Elephas maximus indicus: one gene and its partners. The protein of the gene in region 2 binds, or shares a complex with, the protein of the main gene of each other region. Links are inferred from orthologs where the notes say so. Each region holds a gene or a part of one and is shown on either strand. Other genes may lie near its edges. The genes, in order: TMEM186, cytochrome c oxidase assembly factor 1 homolog, CMC1 and SMIM20.

The links.
Region 1: cytochrome c oxidase assembly factor 1 homolog (region 2) and TMEM186 share a complex: the UniProt entries of both Homo sapiens proteins name them as parts of the mitochondrial complex. The link is inferred for Elephas maximus indicus from reciprocal best matches to the Homo sapiens genes COA1 and TMEM186.
Region 3: cytochrome c oxidase assembly factor 1 homolog (region 2) and CMC1 share a complex: the UniProt entries of both Homo sapiens proteins name them as parts of the MITRAC (mitochondrial translation regulation assembly intermediate of cytochrome c oxidase complex) complex. The link is inferred for Elephas maximus indicus from reciprocal best matches to the Homo sapiens genes COA1 and CMC1.
Region 4: cytochrome c oxidase assembly factor 1 homolog (region 2) and SMIM20 share a complex: the UniProt entries of both Homo sapiens proteins name them as parts of the MITRAC (mitochondrial translation regulation assembly intermediate of cytochrome c oxidase complex) complex. The link is inferred for Elephas maximus indicus from reciprocal best matches to the Homo sapiens genes COA1 and SMIM20.

Annotation. Positions count from the first base shown.
Region 1 is NC_064830.1:66,919,378-66,927,134, reverse strand, and holds the start of TMEM186 (transmembrane protein 186), read left to right. Parts: upstream 1-4,543; 5' UTR 4,544-4,564; coding exon 4,565-4,567; intron 4,568-5,577; coding exon 5,578-6,210; 3' UTR 6,211-7,757. Other genes in the region: PMM2 (phosphomannomutase 2), read right to left, coding at 4,238-4,330. UniProt on the Homo sapiens protein: As part of the MCIA complex, required for efficient assembly of the mitochondrial complex I.
Region 2 is NC_064826.1:106,440,904-106,448,379, forward strand, and holds the start of cytochrome c oxidase assembly factor 1 homolog, read right to left. Parts: upstream 3,086-7,476; 5' UTR 2,688-3,085; coding exon 2,638-2,687; intron 1,916-2,637; coding exon 1,860-1,915; intron 1-1,859. UniProt on the Homo sapiens protein: Component of the MITRAC (mitochondrial translation regulation assembly intermediate of cytochrome c oxidase complex) complex, that regulates cytochrome c oxidase assembly.
Region 3 is NC_064845.1:11,504,862-11,513,252, reverse strand, and holds the start of CMC1 (COX assembly mitochondrial protein homolog), read left to right. Parts: upstream 1-5,023; 5' UTR 5,024-5,201; coding exon 5,202-5,220; intron 5,221-5,880; exon of another isoform or gene 5,881-5,994; intron 5,995-8,391. UniProt on the Homo sapiens protein: Component of the MITRAC (mitochondrial translation regulation assembly intermediate of cytochrome c oxidase complex) complex, that regulates cytochrome c oxidase assembly.
Region 4 is NC_064823.1:137,137,505-137,145,716, forward strand, and holds the start of SMIM20 (small integral membrane protein 20), read right to left. Parts: upstream 3,281-8,212; 5' UTR 3,161-3,280; coding exon 3,052-3,160; intron 1-3,051.

The DNA of each region.
Region 1 (7,757 bases), on a different chromosome or scaffold from region 2:
ACCAGTTAATAGGGCTATTATTCAAATTTACACTCCAACCCCTAAGGCCAAAGAAGATTTTTATCAACTTCTGCAGTCTGAAATTGATAGAACATGCAATCAGGATGCACTGATAATTACTGGTGATTGGAATGCAAAAGTTGGAAACAAAGAAGGGTCGGTACGGCCTTGGTGATAGAAAGGATGCTGGAGATAGCATGATAGAATTTTGCAAGACCAACAACTTCTTCATTGCAAATACTTTTTTTCACCAACATAAACAGTGACTATATAACACGGACGTCGCCAGATGGAATACACAGGAATCAAATCAACTACATCTGTGGAAAAAGACAATGGAAAAGCTCAATATCATCAGTCAGAGCAAGGCCAGGAATCAACTGCGGATCAGACCATCAATTGCTCATATGCAAGTTCAAGCTGAAACTAAAGAAAATTAGACCAAGTCCACGAGAGCCAAAGTACGACCTTGAGTATATCCCCCCTGCATTTAGAGACCATCTCAAGAACAGTTTTGATGCATTGAACACTAATGACTGAAGACCAGATGAGTTGTGGAATGACATCAAGGATATCATACGTGAAGAAAGCAAGATATCACTAAACAGACAGGAAAGAAAGAAAAGACCAAAATGGATGTCAAAAGGAAAAAATGATGAAGTAAAAGAGCTGAGCAGATTTCAAAGGGTGGCTTGAAAAGACAAAGTATTATGATGACATGTGCAGAGACCTGGACATAGAAAACCAAAAGGGAAGAACATGCTCAGCATTTCCCAAGCTGAAAGAACTGAAGAAAAAATTCAAGCCTTGAGTAACAATACTGAAAGATTCTACAGGGAAAATATTAAACGACGCAGGAAGCATTCAAAGAAGATGGAAGGAATACACAGAGTCACTATACCAAAAAGAATTGGTCGACGTTCAACCATTTCAGGAGGTAACATATGATCAGGAACTAATGGTACTGAAGGAAGAATTCCAAGCTCCACTGAAGGCACTGGCAAAAAACAAGGCTCTGAGAATTGACAGAATACCAACTGAGATGTTTCAAGAGATGGATGCAGCGCTGGAAGCACGTACTTATCTATGCCAAGAAATTTGGAAGACCTACCTGGGCAACTGACTGGAAGAGATCCATATATATGTCTATTCCCAAGAAAGGCGACCCAACTGAAATGTAGAAATTACCAAAAAACATCATTATCACATGCAAGCAAAATTTTGCTAAAGATCATTCAAAAGCGGCTGCAGCAGTATATCGACAAGCACTGTCAGAAACTCAAGTCGTCTTTAGAAGAGGATGTGGAACCAGGGATATCACTGCTGATGCCAGATGGATCCTGGCTGAAAGCAGAGAATACCAAAAAGATGTCTACCTGTGTTTTATTGATTATGCTAAGACACTCGACTGTGTGGATCATAATAAATTATGGATAACATTGCAAAGTATGGGAATTCCGGAACACTTAATTGTGCTCATGAGGAATCTGTACATGGAGCAAGAGACAGTTGTTCAAACAGAACAAGGGGATATTGCATGGTTTAAAATCCAGAAAGGTGTGCATCAGGGTTGTATTCTTTCATCAGGCCCATTCAATCTGTATGTTGAGCAAATAATTTGAGAAGCTGGGCTATATGAAGAAGAACGGGGCATCAGGATTGGAGGAAGACTCATTAACAACCTGCGTTATGCAGATGACACAACCTTGCTTGCTGAAAGTGAAGAGGACGTGAAGCACTTATTGATGAAGATCAAAGACCACAGCCTTCAGTACAGATTACACCTCAACATAAAGAAAACAAAAACCCTCACAACTGGACCAATAAACAACATCGTGATAAATGGAGAAAAAATTGAGGTTGTCAAGCATTTCATTTTACTTGGATCGACAATCAACACCCATGGAAGCAGAAGTCCAGAAATCAAGACACATTAAGACCTCTTTAAAGTGTTGAAAAGCAAAGATGTCACCTTGAAGAACAAGGCGTGCCTGACCCAAGCCATGGTGTTTTCAATCGCATCATACGCATGCGAAAGCTGTACAATGAATAAGGAAGACTGAAGGAGATTTGACGTCTTTGAATTATGGTGTTGGGGAAGAATGTTGAACATACTATGGATGGCCAAAAGAACAAACAAATCTGTCTTGGAAGAAGTACAACAAGAATGCTCAGTAGAAGCAAGGATGACAAGACTTTGTCTCACATACTTTGGACATGTTATCAGGAGGGATCAGTCCCTGGAGAAGGACATCACACTTGGTAAAGTAGAGGGTCAGCAAAAAAGAGGAAGACCCTCAAAGAGATTGACAGTGGCTGCAACAGTTGGCTCAAGCATAGCAACAACTGTGAGGATGGTGCAGGACTGAGCGGTGTTTCGTTCTGTTGTGTACAGGGTCGCTATGAGTCAGAACCGACTCGAGTGCACCTAACAACAAGTGACGTGTGCAAAGCCCTGGAGTCCATTCTAATTAGTTTTTATGTTTTTAGCTCGGTCCTTGTTTCAGCAGTGCAAGTCTTCTGCTTCTGGATTTTACTGCACTTATCAGTTTGCAAATGCATGTAATGATGAAGAGAAAGACTGTATGATGAATAGCTCTTTTGCGAAAAAAATTTTACCTAGAGCACCCAACACAGAAACAATTCTCTTTTAAATTACAGAGTTTATTTATTTGAGTGTAAAAATAATTTACGGTTACTGCAAACAATATCATGTTTCAAATGTCTTAAGAGAATACGTTGTAGGCTACCTAACCTGGTTTCTTTGCTATTTCGTACTTTATACTTAAAAAAACCCATTGCTGTCAATTCAATCCTGAGATTCCTATTCAGTGACCCTCTAGGACAGAGCTGAATTGCCCCATTGAGTTTCCAGGGAGCGGCTGGTGGATTTGAATTGTCGATGTTTTGTTTAGCAGCCTAGCAGCCATAGCACTTAACTACTATGCTTAGTTATTCTAATTCTTTTTGGAAATCCAAAGCACTTTCCTGAACAGCACATTCAGAAACTGAAACACCTTCCACTTTAGCACAGTGGTAGGAAATGGCAAAAGTGGCAAATAACAATACCCCGAGACCCAGGGACTGACCAGGTCTACTGTGAAACCGAGAAGGTCATTGCTTCACTGGGTCTCAGTTTCCTTAAACGTAATATGGGAATAACAACTACCCTTCCTGAGGTGGAAGAGGGAGGAAGGAAGGGTTGAAAGGGTCCAATGATAAAGTCTAAGTCTTGGAAATGTAAACCCTAGACCCAGGGATAGACAAACTATAGTCCACCAACCAATCGGAACTGCTGTTTGTTTTTATGAAGTTTTATTAGAACATGGCCATGCCCATTCATTTACATATGGTCTGTGGCTGCTTTTGCAGAGCTGAGTAGTAGTTACTACAGATCATATGGTCCACAAAAACAAAAATTTACTATCTTGCCCTTTACAAAAACAGGAATTCCCCAATTCCAGACAATTACGTACTCTTAATAGCCCATAAACGGATGATCACTGGACCTCAGAGCCAAAAAGGGCCCTTGGAAACTTGCACTCCCAGATTTTGCTGTTACAGGCAAGAATAGGTTTCAGTTAAGAAAGATCAACATCCTCACAGGCACCATATGTAAGAGGTAATGTCCCCATTTAAAGGGGCAGATGCTGAGGCTCAGAGAGGTTAAGTGACTTGCTCAAGGCCACACAGCTGCCAAAAAGTGAAGCTGAGGCTCAGGTAGGTCTGTTTAACCCAGAAACCTGTATTCTTAAGATCAGCCTACATGGCACAGCTTATGGGTGGCAGGAGGAGGGTGGTGCACAGTTGGTCAGGGGCCTGAAGACCAAAACCAAACCTAAGCCGTTGCTGTCGAGTAGATTTCGACTCATAGCGGCCCTGCAGGACAGAGGAGAACTGCTCCACAGGGTTTCCAGGCCATCGGTACCCAGGGTTGGCAATGAAAGTCCAGAACTGGACTTCCCAACCCAGTGCAAGTTCTCTACCCTCAAGGGTTTTTCGGTCCCATCTCATCTCTTCGAGCACCCTGACGTCTTAAAGAGCTGGGTGACTTCCTTCGCATCCCTCCAGGCACACAGAATAGAGTTCAGCACCCCAGGAAGAGTGGGCAGTCATTAACCGACCGTCGGTGGTCCTTAGCCGCCCCCTGGCGCCTACCCGAGGCGATCTTTAGCCCAATCGGGACCCATCAGGGGGCCCCGCACCGGCTGCCGCCAGTTCGCTGGGTACCGCCTACCTGCCGCGGGGCCGTCAGCGTCCCGTCCACATCGAAGAGGCACAGTGCTGGGCCGGTAGCCGCCATATCTCCAGTCCCGCACGCACCAAACATGACCCGTTGGCACCCGGAAATCGACCGGAACTTCCGGGTTCGGCACCCGCGCCGCAGGGCACGCCGGGACGAGGAGACTAGGCTCTCACAATGCCTGCAACTCGCCTCAGCCACTAGCGCTGAACCACAAGTCCCAGAACACAACACACTCCTGAGTTTCCCGTAGTATGAGCATGCGCTCCTAGAGGTTCCGGGGGCAGGCGGTATTCACTTCCGGCAGCGACTAGCGGGGCTATGGTAAGAAGGAGTGTGGTGGGGGTTGAGGAAGGTGACGTGCTTTCGGGGTCGGGGTCAGGGCTTAGGGCAGGCATGCAGGGCGCCTGGGTGTCTCAGTCTGAGAGTCCGCGGAAGGAAGTTCCGGCATGGGGAACGGTTTTCTGTTCCCTGTGTCCTGAAGTCACATGGACCACTGAAAACGGGATAGCTAAAATTCACTGAGCGTTCACCGTGCATCGGTGTGTTGAGGGCTTTAAAACCATAGTCTCATTCAGTAGGCCCAGAATCCCCATTTTGAAAGATGAGGAAACTGAGGCTCAGAGAAGTTGAGTAACTTGCCCAAGGATACACAGCTAGTGACCATTGGGGCCAGGATTGGAACCCGGATCTGGCTCCAAAGCTCTTTCCACTGCACAAGGTTGTAGAACTGTGCACCTAATAAAATCTTTGCGCCTTGTGTTGGGGCCTCCCTTCCCCTCCTCTGCTGTTTCCCCTTCCCTGAACTAGGCTAAGAGAAAACAGCAGTTCCCTCCAGTACCCAAGCTAACTCAAACCTAACCTATTTATAGTGATAGCTGTCTCATGGATTTATTTTCTAGTTCGCCACTAGGACATCGATTGCTTAGTTTTCCTGCTTGGGGAAATGTTCGCGAAGACTTGTGGATCCAATGCCCAGCCCGGAGTTGGCCCACCCTGGGTATTTGTTGAATGAATGAAGGCTGGTCCGTTTTTTCTGTACCTACTTGGAACAGTTTAAGGGTCAGACACTGCCCCATTCACACTTGCCGTGTGTCCTTGGGCAAATTTCTTACCCTCTCTGGCCTTAGTTTCCTCAGTGATAAAGTGGAAGTAATGGCAACTATCTCATAGTTGTCATGAAGGTCTGGCTTTACCTTTCCCTCCATCTCTGGTGATACCAGAGACCTCCCAGAATTGTTGGGAGCCTCCGTGGGACCTGCTTTGCAAATGTTTATTGTTTGATTAGCATGGTTTAGTTCCATGAGAGAAACGGTTTCTTGTCTCCCTTCCAGGCTGCCCTGCTCAGAGCAGTGACCCAGTGGCAGAGGGTAGCTGCCTGGGGGAGGCCGCTCCATGGGCTGTGCTGCAGTGCGCGGGATCCCAGGAGGTGGGTGGGAAGCAGACCACCCACCTTGAAGGAGACACCATCAGACACAGAGACGGAGAAATTCCAGATGGTCTACCGGTTTGGTGCCATCAGAGTCTTCGGATTCCTGTCTCGGCTGAAGGTGGCACAGACGGCCCTGACGGTGGTGGCCCTGCCGCCAGGCTTCTATTTGTACACCCAGGGCCTGATGAGTCTTGGCTCCCTGTGCCTCATGGGTGGGATAGCTGGCTTTGCCCTGGCCATGCTGTACTGGATGAGCCATTTCTTCCGGAGGCTGGTGGGCATCTTGTACGTGAATGAGTCAGGCACGGTGCTGCGGGTGGCCCACCTGACCTTCTGGGGCTCGCGGCAGGATACCTGCTGCCCCGTGGCTGATGTGATCCCCCTCATGGAAACTAGGGACCGGCCCCAGGAGGTGTTCGTCCGTATCCAGCAGTACAGTGGGAAGCAGACTTTCTACCTTAGTCTGCGCTATGGATGCATCCTGGACAGAGAACGATTCACACAGGTGTTTGGGAGAGTGGACATGCCCAGATAAACTCCTGGAAGCTGGGCTTCCAGGTATCCCTGGGCCACCTGGATCTCTAACAGGAAGGCTGACAAAGAGGAACAGGCAGCTGGAGACTTTGCCAGGGCTCCTAGGAACTTTATGGTGACCCCATGTGTGCAGAGTAGAACTGTGCTCCATAGGATTTTCAAGGCTGTGACCTTTCAGAAGCAGATCAGCTGGCCTTGCAGTCACCATGAGTCAAAATCGACTGGATGGCAAATAACAACAGCAATCCAGGAACTTGTCTTATGGGATGAAGAAATTCATGTGGCAAAAGCTAGTAACCAGGTTTAATAAAAAGGCCCTACGTGCAAGTTCTCACTGCACTTGTGGATAATGTTCAAATAATGGCCAGAAACTTCTCGTAAGAGCCAGTTCTTGGAGGAAGCTGTCTCACGTTCACCCAAGCAGTGCACTGCTGTGGAATCAGAAGGCAGAGTGGTGTGGCTGGGGAGCACCGGATTTGGAGTCAGAAGACTTAGGTCATCTGAACCTTGGTTTTCACTCTGTAAAATGGGGAGTCCCGCCTGTCTCATGAGCTGGGCGGGAGAATAAACAAGTGTCAAAGTGCTTTCCGGACTCAACAGCCCTGAGCAAATGTTGAGCATTATGTCAGAGGTTAGGGCTCTGTGAAAGGCTTCCAGGTGATCGGACAGACTTCCTGAGCCCTGTGCTGTGTCCACTCTGTGTGTCCAGCAGCAGAAGGGACTGGCAGGAAGCCTAGGACGGGGCCACATCTTTCTGCCAGGCTGGTAAACTGCACACTGAATGGCAGGGGTGACATCCAAGCAAACGCAGCAGCCCCTTGGGATTTTGTTCACCACCCAGAGGTATGAGGTTCCCACATTCTGAAGGTTTCATAGTGTAATAAAGACTGATGAACTAGATGCTGATACGCTGGTGCATTATTGATAAACAAAAGCCAATTATAAACCAGTAACCAGTTTCCAACGCTGACTCATGGTGACCCAATGTGTCAGAATAGAACTGTGCTTCACAGGGTTTTCAATGGCTGGTTTTTTAGAAGTAGATCGCCAGGCCTTTCTTCCAAGGCACTTCTGGGTGGACATGAACCTCCAACCTTTCAGTTAGCAGCCAGCCAAGTGCGTTAATCATTCGTGTCACCCAAGGACTCCGTTAGACAAACATGGAATTACAAATGTGGACAAGTAGAGTGAAAGAAGAGCAGGATGGTCTGAGGGAGATGAGCAGCAGGGGCATGATGGGAAAAGGGCACAAGAGGCCCTGGGGAAGGGACATTTCAGCGGAGACCTGAGTGTTGTAGGAGGCAGACACAGTTTGTTTCAGGCTGAAGGAAAAGGGAGTGTGAGGTTCTAAGCTGGGGAAGAGGAGGAGGCCCCTCTGGTGAGAGTGGAGGGAGGGAGGGGAAGGATGGACCAGGAGAGGATGCTGAATTTTATTCTAATCACTGTAGGAAGCTCTCGAAGGAGGTCGGAGAAAGGAGAGACAGCAGGGAAAGACAGTTTGGGAGCTTTTAAGAAAAGGGAGCACTACCTTTTCGTTTTCATTCACTT
Region 2 (7,476 bases):
GTGGAATCAGCTTGCTACTTTGCACAATCCGACGTTTCAGTGTCAACAGAAGCACAGCCCTTTTCTTCTACTTACTGTATACTCCTGGTCTTAATTACACTTTAGCTTTTTTCAGTGTATAATCTTGAACAAATACACAGATGGTTAAAATTAGAGGGCACTTCTTTTCTTCTGTACTATTACTCTATCTCTTTCAAAAAACGCCAAAATCAAACAAACTGATGACTTGAAATAAGGGCAAAAACATTAACCAATTTTTAAAACTTTTCTAAAGTGTATATGACATTTGACTTTAATGACTTCTGATGCTGTTAAACCTCTCCTCCCTGTTCCACCTCTAGTCAAATCACTGACTTGACAGTGAATATTGCTGTACATTTATGAACAGCTTCAACAGCCCAGCTTCCAGGGCTGGCCATCACCTGGGAGCAGCTCTCCAGACAGCAGAGAGGAATATGGCATAAAGCAGAACAGGCCTCCTGTCAGTTTAAATCAACAGACATTTATCAGTCTGCTAGTATTCCCTTCTTGTCCTCAATCTTTATTTCCACTTAACTTTTAAGTACTTCCAAATTCAAAAGTTCTCACATGGCTTTTTCTTTTCTTGCAAATTTATCGGGAATATGTGTAGTCATATATGGGAACTACTCACTTCACAATATTCTTCTGAGGCTGGCTGTAAGCTTTATTCCACTCTGACACTAAATTACTCTATAATCCAAAAACAAGGAAAGGAAAAAGGAATCAATTTTCACTGAGTACCCCCCGCACACTGGCCCTGCACTGGGAGTTTTACACGTTACTGTCGTGAGTGAACCCCTTCTATGGAGCCCATCGAGAGGGGCATGGGAAGACAGGCCTGGCAAACTGCTTTTGAAAGGACACATCCTTGAAAATCCTACGAAGCAGTCTACTCCACAAGTCGGCATCAGCTCCACGGCAACTAACACAACAACAACCACTCATCATGTGACTACTGTGAACTACGGCGTCAACGGAAGGGGGGAGCCGAGACATTGTCCCCCACAGATCCGAGCTCTCGGTCTACGCTGGATGTCTGACTGACTTCAGATCACAAAGCCTTCTGCTTCAGACCCCAAGCTAAAAGACCGTAAAAGACAGTAGAGTGAACGGAAATGGAAGAAAATCAATAATTAAGGATTCTGCAGTTTGGAGGAAATCATTTACACTCAATGATTTAAAAAAAAAAAAAAAAAACACCGCCACAATGGCTCCTTTTGCTACGGTTTAAATAGGAAATTATCCCTTAAGTAAATAAACATTCACATGAATCACTCTCTTCTACTTTCAGGAAAAAAAAAAAAAAAAAAGATGCAAAATCTCAGCCCTATTCAGACATGTGTGCTTTCAAACAACTTCAGGAGCAGAGTTGGTTGTGAGAAGAAGCATAACAACGGGCAAGGCCTCTGGCCTCAAGCTCAGTATTTCTGAGGCGTTCTGCCTTCATTAGTACCCTGATTCGTTCAATCATTCCGTTAACAAATACTTATTAAACATACCGAATGCGCCTTACACAGCACCACCTTAAAGGATGAGATGGGTGACAGTGCCAATAACCAGGATCAGGAACAAACAAACTAGGGAGAAACTGCAGTAAACTTTGTCACTATGAACCAGGAAGAGGGGGAAGAAAGGTGCTACAAAGAAAATTGATGCAGTTGCATGGAAAACTCCACAAAATGGTACAGCTGCTGTGGAAAATAGTTTGGGAGTTCCTCAAAATGTTAAACATAGAGTTATCAGGTCAGATCTTCGTATTTACAACATATCAAATTGAGCACATGAAAATTATTAAGTAGTTATATAAGTCAGTTTCACATCAATTAATCTCTTCTTACCTGGGACTTGCCCACAACTTTGGTCTTCGTTCAGAACTTGAAATGCTGGTTCACTGCTTGATTGAAATAGAAGAAGGGAGAGAGGTGCTGAAGCACCCACTCTGGACAGAGCAAGGGCTGAAAACTGCTTGAGCTGGGGACGCAAAGGAGTTCAGAATCCTAGCTGAGGTAAGAAGACGTCTGGGCTGAAGCAGAGACAGACAGTCTGGGATTCTAGCTAAAAAGAAGGTCTAATCTAGAGCAAAACAATGGATTCTACTCCCTATTTCCAAACTATCCTCACAGTTCTGAATAACATGTATATTTTAAAAGTATGTTTATATATGAAAGTGTGTGTATAAAACATTTACCTAAACTTATTAATCTGTTCATTCACCAAATACCCACAGAGCACCTATTATATCTAGACATGATGGAGTGACAGAGAAGTATTTAGGCTAGTTGGGAAGATGAGACGAATGTAAAAAGTTGTATTTTATGTATTATGAATGTATGATCAAACCTGTGGACGCTGAGTCAACTCCAACTCACAGAGACCCTATGTATGTACAGATTAGCACTGGTCCACGGGATTTTCTTGGTGGGTTTGAACCTTTATGGAAGATCACCAGTTCTTTCTTCCATGGTACCACTGGGGGGGGGTATGAACCACCAACCTTTAGGTTAGTAGTCACACACATGCTAACAGTTTGAGCCACCCCAGGAAGGGCTAAATGCCCTAAAAGACAGACAGAGGGCTACGTGAAAAAAGCAATGTAAACCTCACACATATACACACCTATCCTTTAATCTCCCAACGTGTTTTATATTCTTCACAGCACTTTTCATTCTCCACGAAAATGTACATTGCAAGGAGTCAAAGATTTTGCCTTGTTCGCAGCTATAACTCCACAACCTAGAAGAACACCCGGTGTACAGGATATTCTTAATAATTATTTCTTCAATGAGCTATTAACACCACAGTGAAATTGCCATTTAAAAATAACTACCGAGAGTCCAGAAATAAACCCTAAATTTATGGTCAGTTGATTTTTTTGAGAAGAGTACCAATACAATAAAAAGAATAGTCTTTTCAACAAATGGTGGGGGACAACTGGATATCCACATACCAAAAGAAAAAGTTAGGTCCCTTTCTAACATATGAGTAAATCTCGATGGCCTTGCATTAGGCAATGGTTTCTTAAATACAATATCAAAAACATAAGTCAGAAAAGAAAAAGTAGATAAGTTGGATTCAGAATTAAAAATACTTGTGCTGCAAAAGGCACCATGAAGAAAGTAAAAACAACTCACAGAATGGGAGAAAATATTTGTAAATCGTATATCTGACAAGGGATGTGTATCCAGAATATATAAAGAACACTTACAACTCAATAATAAAAAGAAAAAAATAACCCAATTTAAAATGGGCAAAAGATTTGAATAGACATTTCTCCAAATAAGCTATACAAACGGTTCAAAAACACATGAAAAGACGCTCAACATCAGGAAAAATGTAAATCTAAAAACCACAATGAGATACCACTTCACGCCCACTAGGATGGCTATAATCAAAAAGACAGATGACAAGTGTCAGCAAAGATGTGGAGAACTAAGAACCTTTATATACTAGTGGAAGGAGCCCTGGTGGCATGTAGTGGTTAAGCACTTGGCTACTATACCAAAAGGGCAGTGGTTTGAACCCACCAGCCACTCCGCAGGAGAAAGACCCAGTAGCCTGCTTTCCTAAAGATTTACAACCCTGGGGAGGTCAGCACAATTGGACTAAACCAAAAGCAAAGAAGTTTCCTGAATAAACTGAATGCTTCGAAGGCCAGCGTAGCAGGGGCAGGGGTCTGGGGACCATGGTTTCAGGGGACATCTAAGTCAATTGGCGTAATAAAATCTACTAACAAAACATTCTGCATCCCACTTTCAAGAGTGGCGTTTCGGGTCTTAAATGCTAGCAAGCAGCCATCTAAGATGCATCAATTGGTCTCAACCCACCTGGATCAAAGGAGAATGAAGAACACCAAGGACATAAGGTGATTATGAGCCCAACAGACAGAAAGGGCCACATGAACCAGCGACTACATCATCCTGAGACCAGAAGAACTACATGGTCCCCAGCTACAACCAATGACTGCCCTGACAGGGAACACAACAGAGAACCCCTGAGGGAGCAGGAGAGTAGTGGGATGCAGACCCCAAATTCTCGTAAGACCAGATTTAGTGGTCTGACTGAGACTAGAAGGACCCCGGTGGTCATGGCCCCCAGACCTTCTGTTGCCCCAGGACAGGAACCATTCCCGAAGCCAACTCTTCAGACATGGATTGGACTGGACAATGGGTTGGAGAGGGATGCTGGTGAGGAGTGAGCTTCTTGGATCAGGTGGACACTTGAGACTATGTTGGCATCTCCTGCCTGGAGGGGAGATGAGAGGGTAGAGGGGGTTAGAAGCTGGCGAAAAGGACACGAAAAGAGAGAGTAGAGGGAGAGAGCAGGCTGTCTCATTGGGGGAGAGTAATTGGGAGTGTGTAGCAAGGTGTATGTGGGTTTTTGTGTGAGAGACTGACTTGATTTGTAAACTTTCACTTAAAGCACAATAAAAATTATTTAAAAAAAAAAAAAAAAGATTTACAACCCTGGAAACCCTATGGGGCAGTTCTACCCTGCCCTACAGGATCGCTATGAGTCAGAATCGACTCTACAGCAGCAGATTTTGTATAACACTAGTAGAAATGAAAAATGGCACAGCTGCTGTGGAAAACAGTTTGGTAGTACCTCAAAATGTTAAACACAGAGTTATCATATGACCCAGGAATTTCACTCCTAGGTGCATACCCAAAAGAAATGAAAACAGATATTCAAATAAAATCTTGTATAAGAATGTTCACAATAGGACTATTCACAACAGCCAAACAGAATAAACAGCCCAAATATCCAGCAACAGATGAAAGAATAAACAAAATGTGGTATATACATACAATAAAATAATATTCAGCCATAAAAAAGAATGAAGTACTAATACATGCTACACATGGTACTACACTCTATGTATATACTACATTTGATTTTATTCATTCTCTTAGATGTTGTTGTTGTTGTTAGGTACCATTGAGTCAGTTCCGACTCATAGCAATCCTATGTACAACAGAAAAAAACACTGCCCAGTCCTGCGCCATCTTCACAATCATTGTTATGTTGGAGCCCGTTGTTATAGGCACTGTGTCAATTCATCTCGTCGAGGGTCTTCCTTTTTTTTTTTGCTGACCCTCTACTTTACCAAATATGATGTCCTTCTCCAGGGACTGGTCCCTCCTAATAACATGTCCAAAGTATGTGAGACAAAATTTCGCTACCCTCACTTCTAAGGCGCATTCTGGCTGTACTTCTTTCAAGACAGATTTGTTTGTTCTTCTGGCAGTCCATAGTATATTTATTATTCTTTGCCAACAACATAATTCAAATGTGTGTATTTTTTAAAGAACACATAAAAATAACTAATCAAGAAGAAGAATGCTGATGAATTTAACTACATTAAAATTAAAGAACTTCTAAGCAAATAGGGAGCACACTTACGGGTACTTCTTAGACATAACCAAACACCTTGCGGGATTGATTTCCTGGGTTTAAAGGATTAGAACCATTGTCTTGTGGGACATCTCAGTCAATTGGCATAATATAGTTCAGAACATAGTTGCTGCAAAAGACCTCTTTAAAGTGTTAAAAAACAAAGATGTCACTTTGAGGACTAAGGTGAGCCTGAATCAAGCCATGGTATTTTCAATCACCTCATATGAATATGAAAGCTGGACAATGAATAAGGAAGATCAAAGAAGAATTGATGCATTTGAATTATGGTGTTGGTGAAGAATATTGAATATACCATGGACTACCAGAAGAACAAACAAATCTGTCTCGGAAGAAGTTACAGCCAAAATGTTCCTTTGACGCGAGGTTGGTGAGGCTTTGTCTCACGTACTTTAGATGAGTTTTCAGGAGGGACCAGTCCCTGGAGAAGACATCATGCTTGGTAAAGTAGAGGGTCAGCGAAAAAGAGCAAGACCCTCAACGAGATGGACTGACACAGTGGCTACAACGATGGGCTTAAACATAGGAACAATTATGAGGATGGTACAGGACTGGGCATTGTTTCATCGTGTTGTACGTAGGGTCACTATGAGTTGGAACGGACTCAAATGCACCTAACAACAACAGTTCATAAAGCTTATGCTCTACATCCTTGTTTGGTGAATAGTGTCTGGGATCTTAAAACCATGCAAGCGACCATCTAAGATACATACATTGGTCTATACTCATTCAGAGCAAAGGAGAAAGAAGGAAGCCAAAGACTCAAAGGAGAAACTACAAGACTAATAGTCTACATGAACCATGGCCTCATCTACCCTGAGACCAGAAGAACTAGAGGGTGCCTGGCTATCACTACCAGCTGTTCTGATCAGGGCCACAATAGATGAACCCTGGTAGAATGGGAGAAATATGTGGAACAGAAACTCAAATTCCTAAAAAAAAAAAAAAGATTTACTGGACCAGATGAGACTGGAAGACTCACCTAGACTACTGCCCTGAGATACTCTTTAAACCTAGAGCCAAAACTAGCTCCTGAGGTCACCTTTTGGCTAAGTAATAGATTAGCTCAAAAATAAAGAATATCACCCATGAGTACTGTGCTCCTTTAAAAAATGATCTCTATGAGACCATATGGTCAATAATTACTTTAAAACAAAGATGAGAATGTAAGGGGACAAGGAAATTAGATTAATGGAAACAGAGCCACCATAACAAAAAATATTGAGAATGCTGACACACTGTGAAGAATGTAACCAATGTCACTGAACAATTTGTGAAGAAATTGTTGAATGGGTGTAAACCTTTAGTGAAAACACATAAAATATTATTTAAAAAAAAATTAAAGAACTTCTGTTTATCAAAAGACAGTATAGAGAAAGTAAAACCTAAGCTGGGAGAGAATAACTCTTATATTCATAACCAAGCAATAGTATCCAGAATGTCTAAGTTAATCCTACAAACCAATCAGAACAAGCAACCCAACAAACATATAAGAACCATTAAACAGACATTTCACAGAAGACAAATGGCAGTAAACATATGCGAAAGTGCTCAATATCACTATTAATCAGGGAAGTGTAAATCAAGACCACAGAATAACATTGTATGTCCAACAGATTGGTCAAAAATAAACAAATACAACAATGTCAAATGTTGGCAAGGATACAGATCATTTGGAAACACTCATATACTGCCAATGGGAATGTAAATTGGTATAACAAACCTGAATCACAATTTGGAATATCTTGCAATATCCTACAACCCAATTAATTCCACTCTAAATATATACCCTAGAGGAACTTTTGTACAGGTGCATCAGGAAATGTACAAAAGACTGTTCACAGCAGCACTGTTCAAAATAGAAAAAAAAATTGGAAACAATTCAAATGCTCATTGACAGGAGAATAAATAAATACATGGTGGTATATTTACACAGAGCAATAAGATAAAATAAAATGAATGGACTATCATTAAAGGCGCACTTACAGAAAGAAAAGAGCCTTGGTGGCACAGTGGTTAAAGCAATCGACTGCTAATTGAAAA
Region 3 (8,391 bases), on a different chromosome or scaffold from region 2:
GTCTGGGGACCATGGTTTCAGGGGACATCTAAGTCAACTGGAATAATAAAATCTATTAACAAAACATTCTGCATTCTACTTTGAAGAGTGGCATCTGGGCTCTTAAATGCTAGCAAGCAGCCATCTCAGATGCATCAATTGGTCTCAACCCATCCGGGTCAAAGACGAATGAAGAACACCAAGGACACAAGGTGATTAGGAGCCCAAGAGACAGAAAGGGCCACGTGAACCAGCGACTACATCATCCTGAGTCCAGAAGAACTAGATGACGCCCAGCTACAACCGATGACTACCCTGACAGGGAACACAACAGAGAACCCCTGAGGAAGCAGGAGAGCAGTGGGATGCAGACCAGACTTAATGGCCTGACTGAGACTGGAAGGACCCCGGTGGTCATGGCCCCCAGACCTTCTGTTGCCCCAGGACAGGAACCATTCCCAAAGCCAACTCTTCAGACATGGATTGGACTGGACAATGGGTTGGAGAGGGATGCTGGTGAGGAGTGAGCTTCTTGGATCAGGTGGACACTTGAGACTATGTTGGCATCTCCTGCCAGGAGGGGAGATGAGGGTGGAGGGGGTTAGAAGCTGGCGGAATGGACAGGAAAAGAGAGAGTGGAGGGAGAGAGCAGGCTGTCTCATTAGGTGGAGAGTAATTGGGAGTGTGTAGCAAGGTGTTTATGGGTTTTGGTGTGAGAGACTGACTTGATTTGTAAACTTGCACTTAAAGCACAATAAAAATTATTTAAAAAAAAATAGAGGCTATTGTAATCATTTAAGTGAAAGTGGATAGACCTTGGACTACAAGTTGTTACACTGTAGTTGGCAGGTGAAATAAAGATATGTTACGAAAGTAGGTCTGAGTGGATATTGTAATTAATGGCATGTGGGGAATGAGGGACAGACAGGAGGATAGGTGGACTGATCCAGATTGAAGCAGGCCCTATTCAAATATCAGAAAAACAGGACAAAACATATTGCTCTGGGGAGAGGATAATGCTAGGTCAGTTGCCAGGACTAGCCAAGTGAGTTGGGATTCAGAGAAGGGTTCCAGTCCTAGTAAAGGTTTTGAGTGCTACCCTGGATCAAAGTCCGTTTACATGGAGAAGACACAGGCCATGAGGGCTGTGAGCTATGTTATGCAGCTCAGAAAGCAGGCAGGGCCTCCAGGAGCCCTAGAGTCTTCTAGCCAAAAACTCATTCCAAACTCCATCCACTGGTAGGAATGGGTCTTCTACTATTCGTCCAGAATTGATTCTCATTGGCTCAAGGACAGAGCAGAGCAGAACTACAGGTGGAAAGTCTTTAATTCTGATGCTAGGCAAAGTTGGAAGCAAGCAGGGACTCAATTTCAAAAAACAATTACCTGGATATTAGCATCTAGTAAAAAAGAATGCTAGATCTAGTCAAAATTGAAGTGATAAACAAGATATTCGTTTCTACTTACATATTCCCAGGATATTGTTGTTGTTGTTTTAAGTGCTGTTGAGTTGGTTCCAACTCGGAGAGACCCTATGTACAACAGAATGAGATACCATCTGGTCGTGTGCCATCCTCACAATCATTGCTATGTTTGAGCCCATTGTTGCAGCCACTGTGCCAATCCATCTCATTGAGGGTCTTCCTCTCTTCGCTGACCCTCTGCTTTACCAAGTGTGATGTCCTTCTCCAGGGACTGGTACCTACTAGTTACATGTCCAAAGTACATGAGACAAAGTCTCTCCATCCTCGCTTCTACGGAGCATTCTGGCTGTACTTCTTTCAAGATAGATTTGTTCATTCTTCTGGCAGTCCACGGTATATTCAATATTCTTGGCCAACATCGTAAATCAAATGCATAATTCAAATGCATGTTTCCTCAGTCTTCCTTATTTACTGTCCAGCTTTCACATACGTATACAATATTAAAGAATATGTGATATTAAGAAATATACATATGTATGAGTGTATATACATGTATATATACACATATACGTACAATCATAGATATATGTTTAAATGTCCAGTCTACTAAATACCTCACTTCTCTTTGCCTTCACAGACTCTTGTGATTCAAACAGTGTCATCGTTCCCTGTGTTTACTGCACCAGCCTCCTAACTTGTTTCTCTGTCCCAGTATTTGCCCCCATCAATAAGGATCAAGGGCACGTCATCTGAGTTGAGGTCTAAATGGGCCCATTGTTAGGATTTTCTTATTTGTCTGTGAGCATTTACCAAGGAAAGGAAACCCCTGGGGAATCCTTCTTGGCTGCTTGTCTTATTCTCCTCAGTCCAATTATAAAGTATGGATTCTTCCTTCACAATTACTCTTACACCCATCTTTTCTTTTTACATTTCTATACTTCCTAGTTCAGCTCCTTATCAGATTCTGCCTGAATTACTGCAATAACTTTCTCACTCCTCTGCTTACCTCTTGGCTCTCTACTGGTCAGCTAAATGCCATTTTTTTTTTTTTTTTTACTTTTTAACCTTCAGCAGCTTTTGAGTGCTTGTAGCAACATATTCAAACACTCTCAACCTAATGTTTAAGGCTTTGGGAATCTGGCCTCTTCTAACATTTTCAGTCCCACTATTTTTATCCCAGCTTCCTGAATCCTCAAACTCGTTGAAGTCGCCTTAAGACATTTCTTCTGTTTTCTACCGCCAATCTATTATCTGTGATTTAACTTTCTTTTTAAGGTGTCCTGGTGGTACAGTGGTTAAGCGCTCAGCTGTTAAGGTCAGCCAAGCCACCAGCATCTCCACAGATGTGGCAGTTTGCTCCCCGAAAGATTACAGCCTTAGAAACCCTATGGGGTCGTTCTCTGTTCTATAGTCACTATGAGTCCGAATCAACTACAATGAATTTGGTTTATTTTGTTTTGTTTAACTTTCTTTTTATGATTTATCTTCCCCAGTTATATTACAAGACAGTTTCCTGCAAACTATCTAGTTTTATACGAGAATGGAGAATGATATACTAGTTTTTTTTTTTTTTTTTTAACCAGGCATTGAGGAGACCTGGTGGCATAGTGGTTAAGAGCACGGCTGCTAAGCAAAAGGTCAGCAGTTCAAATCCATCAGCTGCTCCTTGGAAACCCTATGAGGCAGTTCTACTCTGCCTTATAGGGTCACTATGAGTGAGAATCAACTTGACAGCAACAGGTACCAGGCATTGAATTAGGTCCCCGGATGGCACAAACGGTTTATGATTGTCTATCAAGCAAAATTGGTTCCAACCCACCCAGTGGCGCTACAGAAGAAAGGCCCGGTGGCCTGCTTCCCTAAAGACTGCAGCCAAGAAAATCCTATGAAGCTCAGTTCTACCCTGTAACACATGGGGTTGCCAGGAGTTGGAATCGACTTGAAGGCAATGGGTCTGGTTTACCAGTCATCGAGGTGTTACTTTCGCTGGTGTCTCCTTTAGTGTGATATGCCCAGTAGTCCATTTTGTGGGGTATAGAAACCCATGATTTTATAGATATTCTTGCTTAAGATAAAGCTAAAGTGAGTTGATTTAAATTTAAAAAAATTAGTTGATAATGGTTATGGCAAAAATTGCTTTAGTGGTCCTCAAACAACTGAAATAGAGATGTGTATCACATTTATTCCTCACAACAACCTTGTAAGTTAGTAACTAAAGTCCAGAAAAACCTTGGAACTCATTCATATCATAAAGCTAACAGGCTGTTATGCAGGATTCACCTTCAGGTACTCAGATCTCAACTGAAGCTCTCCACAACTTCTCCCTTTACCATGATGCCCTTCTGGATAAACAAAGATTTGGTTTAAATTCTTGAGTGCGGGAACCTGACTTGTGTTTTTATAAAACTCATTACCTCAAAAAGATTTTCTTTCTGAATTAAATCCTTTACCTCCAGAAAAAAAACAAAAAGGGCTCCAGAGTGAATTTGGGGTATTCCTTATAAAAATATACAAGGAAAAGGACCCGCTTTCCTGCCTGAGTGCAACATTAATTCCTTACCTTGGCACCTCAAACTGCAGCCGTAATAAGGGCCGTTATGCCCAAATAGGCCCTTAAACGGAAGACCTGCTGAGCAGAGACACACTTTCCCAGCCCTGCTCAACTGTGGCAGCTTTTGCTGCCAACTGACCAGGCGGAAGCAGCAGCAGGGGAGGAGGCACCGCAGGTAGGCGTGGAGGGGATCATTCTGAAAGCTTTAAATCCCTTGCAGGGAAGAAGCAGCTGCTCCTTGTTTTTCCAAACATCTGTCCCATCTGTCCCTGACTGCACTTCACCCTTTGGAGGCCCCAGCTAGTTAAACATGGGCTTGACAAGGTAGACCTTCTGAAGGCTGGTTGGTGAATGAGAATGGGTATCGTGTCACCCAGAACGTTTCTGCCACGAAGAGGGCAGTGGGGAAGGATTTAAGGAGGATGTAGTGACCACTCAGAATGGGATGTACGCCCTGAGTATATTATTTCACCAAATAGAGGTACCCCTAGCATCCTCATTTTTCTTTTAACCTGCAGGGAGGCCCAGGCTGTTGCTTAGGGGGTAAATTACGAAACTGCATACAGGTCTATGGTAGAAGGTGCTGTGCACATCTCGCGCGTGTGGCTCGGGCCTGATCCCCTGCCAACACTGTGCTCCCCGAGAATAGGGACAAACCTTTTCAGTCAATTATTTTCCCCCAGCACGCAGGACCGAGCCTGGCCCCTGGCAGGCGTGAAATAAGACATTTATGAATGAGTGAACGTTAACAAGGAATAATCAATGAAAGGAATCGGGCGATTCTCCGAAAGCGGGCATGGGAGGTCTCGGACTCTGACCTAATCGCCGAAGGCAGCGCAGTCCCCAAGGCCCGCAGCTCCGGCTCCGGCCACCGCAGACCAGGGTCAGCCACCACGTGCTCGCGCTCCGCCCGAACCCGGGCTGCGCGCGCTGAGACGGCCCCGCCCCCAGGGCGCGCGCAGCCACGCCCCCTTCCCAGGGTCCTTCCCTACAGAAGTCGGCTCCACCGCGGAGGGCGCCAGGGCGAGGGGCGGGGCCAGCAGCGCGCAGGCGCAGTGGCGGCGGAAGTAGGAACTAGAGGAGGAAAAGGGCTTGGCCCGGCTTCGCGGAGGGCGCTGTGCTCCTCCTCCTCTTCCTCGTCACGCGGGAAGCTCCCCGCGGCCGCACGTGCAGTGGAGCCGAAGCTCCGCCCCCCCGCCCCCTGCCCCTGAGCCGCCGCCGGGCTGCCTCCTTGTCTGCCCGCCGAGATGGCGCTCGACCCCGCAGGTACGGGGACAGGGAGCGGGCGTCACCGAGGGGCCTCGGGCCGGGTCTCAGCCGCGGGCGTGCGGACTCGGGCGGGCCTGGGGAGGGGGCCGAGCCGCGGGTTTGCGCTCCGTCCGCAGACGCCACCCCCCGCCCTGCGGATGACTGAGGTTCTCTGGGCGCCCCCGGCTTCCGGGGGCGACAGGTCCGCTTCCCGCGCCCGGGGGCTCGGGTTCGGTGCAGGGCGCAGGGTTCGTGGTCTGAACACACGTCCGCTGGTGACTTGCAAACATTTTCCTCCCTAAGTCGGCATCGTCTTGGCTCTCGGGGGCACAGACTTTGGAACACTTAACGTCCGGTGCAGAAAAATTTCGCCAGTCCTTGGGGAAGCACGGTTTTATGTTGGCTTTCAGGACTTCACAGATTCCCAGTTCACGCTTGGTGCCAACTTAACAGTTCCGAGGGTCTAGTCGCTGCGGCAAGAGGTCGTTTCTTTAGAAAGGTTCCCTGAAGTCTTGACGGATGTTTCTTGATTTTCATGCTGCATTTGCAGAAGTCGTTTCAGTTCCCCCCCTTACAGAACCTCACCAGCAATATCTGCTCTAGGCTGTTTATGTGAGGGTATAGGTCTAGAGGAGAGCTTGGGTGGTGCAAAGGTTAACACTCAGCTGCTAACCTTAGGGTTGGAGGTTCGAGCCCCACCAGAGACGAAAGGCCTGGCGATCTGCTTCCAAAAAAATCAACCGTTGAAAATCCTGTGCAGCACGATTCTACTCTGACACCCACGGGATGGCCGTGAGTTGGAATCAGTTCTTGGCAACTGATTTAGTTTCTTGGGTAGGGATGTAGAGCTTCATTTTTGGACGCAGTGGTAATTCATCTAGCCCATTCGCTTCATTTGATGGATACCAAAACTCAAGACACTGGGAGGTGAAATGACTTCAAACCTTTAGAAGTTCAGAAATGAAAAAGACACTTTTATGCCCTGAAAGAGAATGTAAATTTGTATAATGCACAAATAATACATTTATCGAGCACTTTAATATCAAGCCCTTTTCTAAGTATTCTAAATTATCCAACAATAGTACATAGTGTATGGGGCAGTTCTACTCTGTTCTGTAGGGTCTCTATGAGTCAGAATCGACTCCATGGCAACTTTTTTTTTTTTTTAGGGTATGCAAATACAATTATCTCCATTTTACAAATTAGGAAGGAAACTCAGGCTCAGAGCGGTTAAGTTACTAGTCCACGTAGGCAGTGGTCAAATCAGGGAATACTCTAGTATGAAGCATAAAGAAGTTAGAAGGAACACATAGCTATGGTACTGATTTTGGGCCAGGTGATTTCATCAGGCTTAATGAAGCAGTTAGCAGTTGATCTGGGGCCTCAAAGAATTTCTCATGGTTAGAGTTGGAGAAGAGGCAGCCTAATGAGCAAAAGCATAGGCATTAAAGTGCACTGGTGGTGCAGTGGTTAAGAACTCAGGCTGCTGACCAAAAGGTCAGCAGTTTGAATTTACCAGGCGCTCCTTGGAATCCCTGTGGAGCAGTTCTTCTCTGACCTATAGGGTCACGTGGAGTCCGTGCCAATGGGTTTTTACATATGGATGAAACAGATTCAGAGAGGTTAAAGGCTTGATGCTCTTGAATTTAGAAAGTTAAGAAAATGGAAAAAAAAATCTTATGTTTGTTGTCTCTACTTTCTTACCTTCCAGCCACACCCGTCTTGTGTGTCCAAGACCTTGTAGCTAATTTCCGTTAGCGCCAACTCTGTATAGAACCCAGGTAATTGCGATCCTAGTCTGGCACTGTAGACAGTGCCTCTGTTCAAGTATTCATTGATTTAACAAATACTTGTTGACTGCCTGGTATATGCCAAATATTGTTACGTTGCTGTGTGCCATCAAATTGATTCCGATTCATAGCGACCGTATAGGACAGGTTAGAACTGCCCCATCAGGTTTCTAAGGAGCGACTAGTGGATTCAAACCGCCAACCTTTTGGTTAGCAGCCTAAGCTCTAACTGCTTTGTTATAGGAAACAATGGCGTATAGGACAGACAAGATCTATAAGGTGGGAGGTTCAAGTCCACCCACTGTTTGCTAGGGCCTGTAACAATACCTGGCATATACTGGGTATTCACCATAAAGCTTGTATTCTAGTGTAAAAGAAAGAAAACAAATAACTCCTCTCCCCCTTTACAGATTGTGGTAAACATGAAGAAATAAGCAGGGTTCTAGTGAAGAGACGGCTGCTTTTAATAGAGTGGTCAGTGAAAAGCACTATGAAGAAGTGTCATTTGAATTAGAATCTGGAGGATGAGAGGAAGCAGCTATGTGAAGAGCCAGGGAAAGAGTATGCTGGGCAGTGGAAATAGCAAATGCTTCAAATACTGGGCTAGCATGTATGGCCAGAGTACAGAGGAGCTCCAGAAGGAAGGATGTTGGGAAAATAGGCTAGACCTCCATGCCGCAGGGCCTTGTGGGCAATGATAAAACATTTGGATGTTTTCTGATGTTATCAGAAGCCTTTGGGGACTTTTAAAAAGAGCTGTGACGCCATTTATGTCTTTAAAATATTACTCTGACTGCAGTGGTACAGTGGGTTGTAGGCAGGTTTTGAGTAGAACCAAGGAGACAGGTTAAGAGACCGTAGCGGTAGGCCAGGTCTGTGGGGATGGAGAGAGATGTAAGGATTCAGTATACATTTTGGAGGAGAAATTGATAGGACCTGCTGCTGCACTGAATAAGGTGGTGAGGGAGAAGGAGAAATTACGGATAATTTCTAGGCTTTATACTTCAGCAACTGGTTGGATGGCAGTGGTCAGATCCAACAACATGAAGGTCATTGAAGACTGACAAAAACAGGGATAGAAACGAAACTGGAGTGGATTAAGAAGGGACAGTAGGAAAGTGGAGATGGCAAGTGTGAAGATGTTTTTCCAAATTTCCTTGTCTAAATTCAAGAACAGAAATGTATTGGAGTGATTTTTTTTTTAATAGATTTTTGTTCATAAATTGGAACGTAGGTTCACATTTTGCTGTTTTACTGCTTTTTACAATCCACAGTAGTATATGTCCACATTGAGTAGATAAGTGTCTGGATACAAAAACAAAACCCACTACCGTCACGTTGGTTCTGAACCATACTGAGCGACTCTATAGGACGAAGTAGAACTGTCCTGTAGGATTTC
Region 4 (8,212 bases), on a different chromosome or scaffold from region 2:
TTAGAATCGACTCGATGGCAATGGGTTTTTAATGGGTTAATCTTTAGATGGAGCCACTGGATAGGTTCAAACCACCAACCTTTCAGTTGGCACTTAACCACTGTGCCACCAGGGCTTCTCTTACCCTCTCAGAGAGCCAGTCTGGTGCCATGGTGCAGCCATTAAGAGCACTTGTTCAAATTCCACATCTGTGACTCTTCAGCTGTGGGCTCTCGTGCAGGCGACCTAACGGTCCCACACCTCAGTTTGCCCACATATAAAATGGGGATGATGATCACATGGCAGCCACCTCAGAGGGTTTTTAGGAGAATTAAATGGGTTAACATACACGTGGAAACCCTGGTGGCACAGTGGTTAAGTGCTAAGGCTGCTAACCAAAAGTCAGCAGTTCTAACCCACCAGGTGCTCCTTGGAAACTCAATTGGGCAGTTCTACTCTGTCCTATAGGGTTGCTATGAGTCAGAATCGACTCGACAGCAACAGGTTTTTTTTTTTTTTTTTTAAACATAAATGAGCCGTCCCTGGGTACTGCAAATGGTTAACGTGCTTGCTGCTGACCAAAAGGTTGGTGGTTCAGGCCCACCCAGAGGCACCTCAGAACAAAGTCCTGGTGATCTGCTTCCCCGAAACCAGCCACTGAAAGCCCTGTGGAGCACGTCCTGGCACCCATGGGGTCGCCACGATTCAAAGCCGACCTGATGGCAGCTGGTTTGGTGCTTAGAAAAGGACCAGATGTGCAGTAAACTTCCAGTAAACAAAAAAAACTTCCAGTAGGTCAGTATTATCCACACGTTGGAAGATGCAGTTAGTTCCAAGGTTTGGCCAAAGTAATTAAAACTGAACCAGAAAAGTGGGCCGGTGTAGGCTCCTGTCCAGTTCAAAATGCAGGTATTCTGGCCACGCTCACTAAATGTTTCCCTAAAGGACCTGATTTGTCTCTCTCAACTGACCAAGTCTGACAACCAGAGATTCTGGAGTAGCCCTGTTAGACTGCTGCTGGGAGTCACAGCTCAAACCCACGCCTTGGTCATCAGATCTGGGCAGGATTTCTCAATCTCAGCACCACTGACATTTTGCGCCCGGTAACTCTTTGTTTTCAGTGGCTGTGCACTATAGAAAGTTTAGCCGCATCCCTGGCGTCCACCCCATAGATGCAGCCGTCATTCACAACCTTCCCCCAGTCGTGACAACCAGAAGTGTATCCAGATAGACCCAGATGTCCCGAGGGGCAAAATCACCCCCAGTTGAGAACCTCTGACTTAGTCTTCATAACTGAAACTTTCCTAAGGGGATCCACAGCAGGTCCCCGTGGTCCCAAATTCAACTCTAAAGATCATAATAAAACAGCCTGGGGCAGAGACCAAGTGAGGAAGGGCAATAGAAATAGCTTACTCAAGGCTTCAGACAGTCCCTTCCTGACCAACACCCCCCCCCCCCAGCCCCCCGCCCCATGCAAGAAGCACGCTGATAGGCTGGAAGACAGAATGCACGGGTGTCAGTTCAGTCTCGGCTGATGAAAAAGCTGCAAGAAAATCTGAGGTGTACTTAAAACGCTATGTCTCCAGAAACCAAATGTAGCATTTGTAATGGGCAGAACATTTACACGGGGCTTTAGCCTTCAAATCGCCCAGCTTTCAGCCTCTGCTAAGATTCTCAAGGGGCATGGCTGGCACTCTTCCATCTTCAAGATGATTCAGGTTTCCTGAAGAACAAAATGAGCCTCTAATGCCTAATATTTTCTCTCTGACAGATGGTTTCAGATGTATCAAAGCGCTAATCCTTGCTGAGGTGTAAGTCTCCGGGAAGGAGAGTTTGGCTTTTCGAATGATAGGACTTGAATGATTAAGGAGGAAAATTACTCCCAGGATATTCACCATTGTCATGTGAGCAATCAGCTTAAAACTAAGGAAGCCTGCAGAATCTGAAAAAAAGATCTGAAACAAAAGGAGAGGAAAAACTCAAAACCCTGGTTAACAGTTTAGGTTTGAACATTTCCACTCAAAGACATCTGCAGGAATGTAAATGAAGTGTAATAAAAACACCTTTAGGTACAGAATATATGGGGTTCTATCTGCCCCCCCCAATCATCGTTCCCAGCTTCAGGATGTGGAAGATGGGGGACTCTGGAGACAAAGGCCTGGTTTGTGACCTTGCCATTTACTAGCTGTTACCTTGGGCACGTCATACAACCTCTCTGAGCCTCAATACTCCATCTGTAAAACGGAGTAGTACCTATCTCCTATTAATGTTGTGGAAATTAAACAATCAAATGTATGCCTAACCTGACACATGACAGGCTGCCAGTGAATGCTAATTAAAACACAGTCCCTGGTGGTGCAGTGGTTAAGTGTGCGGCTGCTAAGAGAAAGGTCAGTGATTGGAACCCGTCGGCCGCTCTCTAGGGCCAAGGATGTGGCAGTCCACTTCCGTAAAAATTTACAGCCTTGGAAACCCCGTGGGGCCCTTCTATTCTGTCCTATAGGGTCGCTATGAGTCGGAAATGATTTGAGGGCATCGGGTTTGCTCCTTTGGTTTTTGAATGCTGAATGGTGTTGCCATTGAGTAAATTAGGAGTCATGGCGACCTCCTGAGTAAAAAGTAGAAGGGCTCCATGGGGTTTTCAAGGTCGTAACCTTCAGAAGTAGATCGCCAGCCTGTATCCCAGAAGTTGTTGCGTGGGTATGAACCGCCAACCTACCAGTTAGTAGCCAAGCACTTAACTGTTCGCACCACTCAGGAAACCTTAAATGAGTATTAAGCAGCATTTGCTGTAGACCTACTATGTGCAGGCTGCCTTCACATACACTAACCACCTTGGAGCTCACTAAAGCCTCCAGAGGCAGTTATTTATACTATCATCCCTGTTTTATAAATGAGAACGTTGAGGGTCCAAGAGATTAAGCACTTGTCCACGGTCACAAAGCTGCACAGCGCTCGAACCCGGGTCCGCCCGACTCCCGAGCCGAGTTCTTTCCACCGCACCACGTGGAGCTGAGAAAGGTGGGGGTGTTACTGGGGCCAGGCCACCGCGCGGGGTCAGAGGTCACTCACGGTACTCCTCCAGCCGCATTAGGGGCCGGAAGTAGATGGGGTAGAAGGCAGCGCCGAGCAGGGAAACGAAACCGCCGAAAATGAGCACAGTGCGCAGAATCCGGGACATGGTGCTGGGTTGGGGGCTGCCCTGGCCCGCTGAGCAACCGGCACTCGCGGAATCCCCGCTTTAGCGCCCGGGTCGTGACCCCGCTCGGAAGCGGAGAACTGGCTTTCGTTTCCGGGCCTTGGGGGCGGGGCTAGAAAGCGGGGCGGGTGCCGGCAGGGTCTAGGAGGAGGTGAGGCAGGGGCGGGACCTGGGGCAAGGGTGGGGCTAGAGGCGGGGCATGGGCCGGGCCTTGGACCTACGCCCCGCCTCCCCCTCGCTCGGTCTGTGCGCTGCGCAGGCGAGCGCAGGTGACGGGTTAGGAGTGGAGGTGCTGCTGTGCTGGGTTCCCGCGGGCCCTGTTCTGCTGTCTTCCTTGCCCTGGTCCTGGCTCCCCTCTCAGCCGCGCCACCCACTATCCTCCGGACCTCCATTACCCACCACGCTTCCTGGTTCTTCACCCCACTGATTAGTTTTTAGTGGCTTTGCACCAGGAGCAGAATGCTCTTTATGGGTGACTTGTTCAATCCTCCTATCTGTAGTCCCATTTTATGGTGAGGAAACCACGGCTCGGCTGCGCTGTTTCTGCAGAGTCACGTAGCCTCCTTAAAGGCTTGTGGGGACTACGGCGTCCCAGTGGTTAAGAGCTTGGCTGCTAACCAAAAGGCTGGCAGTTCGAATCCACCAGCGAGTCCTCGGACACTCTATAGGGCAGTTCTGCTCTGTCCTATAGGGTCGCTATATGTCGGAATCAACTGCACGGCCACGCTTTTTTTTGGGGGGGGGGGTGCTGCAAAGGGTTAACGGCTGGGTTGCTAATGGAAAGGTTGCAAGTTCCAGTCCACCCAGAGGCACCTGGGAAGAAGGCCTGGCAATCTACTTCGAAAAAAATCAGCATTGAAAACCCTACGGAGTACAGTTCTACTCAGACACAGGCAGTTGCCATGAGGCGGAGTCCACTTGACAGCAACTAGTTATAGAGACAAGGGCAAACTGCCTGGCCCAGGCTGGCCCCCAGGGGGGATTCTGAAACCTGAGACCAGGGGTGATTATCTAATAGGCCAGGTAAGCCCAACGCTTACCTTGCTTACCTGATCATCTGTAGTAAACAATTCACATACTTCCACCAGATCAAAGACCTTGCTTCTAGGTATAGCGGGCATCTGTCTCTCTCCCAGGCCCACAGCACCTTCCTATAGAATCAAAGCCTCTACTCTATCCCCTATAAATAAGGATGATACCAGGTGCTAGGGCTGGGGGGCAACAGCATGTTTATCTTGACCCAGCAGCATTATTTAGTCCAAAAAAGATCTAAGATCTTCCAGAAATGTGAAGAGTACAGGTTTCCTCTTTTTTTTTTAATTGTAGTTCTGTGGTTGAATCAAGTTACTATCTACCTCCTAGGTTCTGGAAGCATACAAATCAGTTGTTCTTTTTGCCAGCAGATGTGTGGACTCTCTACCACGCCCCCAGACACCAGGCAAAGTGCTACGGGGGACACAGGAATAAGATGTGACCCCTGCTCTCCAGGATCTTGCGGCGTAGATAAAGGGACCGGCCACATACACAAAAAGATAACTGATGAGCCCTGTTGCAGCCTATTGCAGAAGAGTGATACAGAACTGCGGGCTGCTGAAGTTCAGAGGAGGAGACAGATGATGGGGGTGAGGCGGCTGCTCCTCAGGCACCTAGAAAAGACTGTAAGGGTGAGGACAGAAGAGTTCATGGAAAACAGGGAGCCTGTGATACATGCTGTGTATTAGATGATATAAAATACCCAGGCATGGTGGTGCACGTGTGTCATTTTAACAACCCAGCATCCACTTCCCTTTTTTCTGTTAATAAAAACCAAACCACTTGCCATGGATTCTGACTCATGGAGACCCCATGTGTTACCTAGTAGAAATGCTTTCCATAGAAATTTCATGGCTGTGACCTTTCAGAAGCAGATTGTAGGCCTTTCTTCTGAGGCACCTCTGGGTGGGTTCAAACTGCCAACCTTTTGGTTACTTGTCAAATGCTTAACCATTTGCGCTGCCCGGAGGCTCTTTTTTCTGTTAACAAACCAAACCAAACCCACTGCTGTTAAGTCAGTTCCAACTCATAGTGACCCTATAAGGCAGAGTAGAACCGCACCCTAGGGTTTCCAAGGCTGTAATCTTTACGGGATCAGACTGCTACGTCTTTCTCCTGTGGAGTGGCTGGTGGGTTTGAACCATTGACTTTTTAGTTAGCAGTCCAGTTATTAACCACTGTACCACCAGGGCTCCTTTTTCTGTTTATGGTATCCTAATATCTTTGGGGAAAGCACTCCTCTCCCAGTGTCAGTCCCTGGAGTGAGCTGGGGCCCTTCCCTGTCTAGCCCCCTACCTTTCATCCTTACTGCCTCCGAGCTCCGGGAGTAAGCGTGTAATCAAGCCTAGCCAAGCTCCCGAGCCATAGGCACCCTCCTGGCCACATGACCAACCATGAAAGCTGGCTAAAACTTGAGAGGATGAGACGTAGAGGACACCATTTAGAGACTGAGAATGAAGTCAGTACAGCAGAAGGAAAGTTTAGAGACAAACTAGTGTCCCCCCTTATCCACAGGGATATGTTCCAAGACCCCCACGGATGCCTGAAGCCAAGGATAGTACCAAACACTATGTATACTATGTTTTGTCCTATACATACATACATACCTATGATAAAGCTTAAGTTATAAATTAGGCATAGTAAGAGATTAATAACAATACCTAATAATAAAATAGGACAATTATAACAGTGTACTGTAATAAAAGTTATATGAATGCAGTCACACTACTCATTTAACATTTTCATACCACAGGTAACTGAAACCATGGAAAGCGAAACCACGGATTGAGCCCCTGAAGCCAGCCATACCTGAAGTAGTCCTACTCCTGGACTTCTCGGTAACATAAGCCAGTAAAATTTCCTCTTCACATGAGTAAGAATGTTGGACTCTGTCTTTTATAAGAGCCTTGGTAGTGCAGTAGTTAAGCTTTCAGCTGCTAACCAAAAGGTCGGCGGTTGGAACCCACCAGCCGCTCCACGGGAGTAAGATGCAGCAGTCTGCTTACATGAAGAGTACAGCCTCGGAAACCCTATGGGGCAGTTGCTGTCTGTCCTGTAGGGTCGCTATGAGTAGGAATTGACTTGACGGCACTGGGTTTGGGTCTTTTACAACAGAGAGATGTGATCTTATTCACTAACATCCCCATAAGCTGCAAGTCAAGGCTTACCCTGTTTTATTGTCCAGGTCACTGTGAGCCAGAGATCTGAACTCCCTCTCAGGGTACACAGCACTGACTAAGCTAGGACCAGGGCTGAGACTCATGATGACTCATCTGAAGTGCTCCTCCATGACTCCTTGCTTTCTTGATGAACAAGCTTGGTAGGATGGCCCTGTTTATGGTGCCTCTGTGGGCCAGTACTGCGAGTGCCAGGATAACGGGGTGTCCTGGTCAGGTACCAGAGTCCCTGTGTGGTGCAAACAGTTAATGCGCTCAACTCTTACCCAAAATGTTGGAAGTTTGAGCCCACCCAGCAACACCTTGAAAGAAAGGCCTGGCAATCCACTTTAGATAAATCAGCTATTGAAAACCCTGTGGAGCACCATTCTACTCTGACACACATTGGATCACCACAAGCCAGAGTTGACTCGATGGCAGCTGGTACTGACTGATGAGATACAAAGAGTACCTCCAAGGCACAGCCCAGGACCCGTACGGCAGATGAGCCACCCCCTCTTCAAAGTGGTGTGACAAGTGATGGTTTCTGTGACCCCTTAATGCTAATCGAAAGGCTTTAGCCTGACCAGCAAAAACGATTAGCCCATCTATGCCATTTGTACAGATTATCATTATCACACCAAAAAACAGCTACCTGCCACTGCCTGTCACCAAGTTCTACCAAATTTTTAAGTCCATCTTTTGGATCATTGTGTTTTCTGCCCATTTCTGAGAAAACCACACTCACTCAAGTTTTATTTCTCTACTAATCTGTGAATTGAATCAACAAAAATGTATTGTGTGCTTACTCCAGGCAAAGCACTGTAATAGCTGCTTGGGAACACAAAAAGGAATGGTTCAACATTTGTGTATTCGACAAACGTGTCCATTGTCCCAGGCGGAGCCAAGCAGACGCCGGGTGGATGCGGCAGTGAGTAGCATAGCACAGCCTGTTGTCCTCCTGGCGTAGGAATAAGATGTGGCAGTAGATTGTAATTTCCTTTTGATCACTCAGCCTCCCCTAATGTTAGCATCTGATTTCTTTTTGGAGGATGACCTCTCAGCTTGGCATTGTTGGTTGGACTGTAAATCAGGGGCCGTGCTGGGCTACTAACCAAAAGTTTGGAGTCCAAGTCTGTTTGGTTTGCGTGCCACAAGGGGTACCTAGGAAGTAAAGCCGAGCGATCTGCTTCTGAAAATCATAGCCTTCAAAACCCTATGGAGCAGTTCTCCTCTGCACACATGGGGTCGCCAGGAGTCAGAATCACTCGACTGCAACCTAACAGCAAACAACAACGCACTCGTCATCAATACCAATATCAAGACTTGTAGAACATTTGTTTGTGCCAGTCATTATCATTGGCTTACTCCTGCAGTACCGACCAATGTCTGTGTACAAATACTTAAGTTTCCTCATATTCAGATCAGGAAGCTGGCGCAAGCAAGAAAGACTTGCCAGTGGCCACATGGCTAGTAAGTGGCAGAGCCGGGGTTCGAGCTCAGGTTGCTTGGCTCCAGAGATCTGTTCTTAACCACCAATCTACACTGTCTTGCAAATTCAGCAAGCTTGTGTTGCCTGGAAAAGGTGGTGGCGTAGTGGTTAAGAGCTACAGCTGTTAACCAAAAGGTCAGCAGTTCTAATCCACCAGGCGCTTCTTAGAAACCCTATGAGACAGTTCTGCTCTGTCCTGTAGGGTCGCTATGAGTTGGAATCGGCTCGATGGCAATGAAAGTTTTTTTGTGTTGCCTAGGAGTGCACATGAACCAACCTGGTTAATTGATTTCTGTCTCCCAGAAATAAGGATGGTGAGGACTGGAACACAAGGACAGACAGCACTGTTGGAGT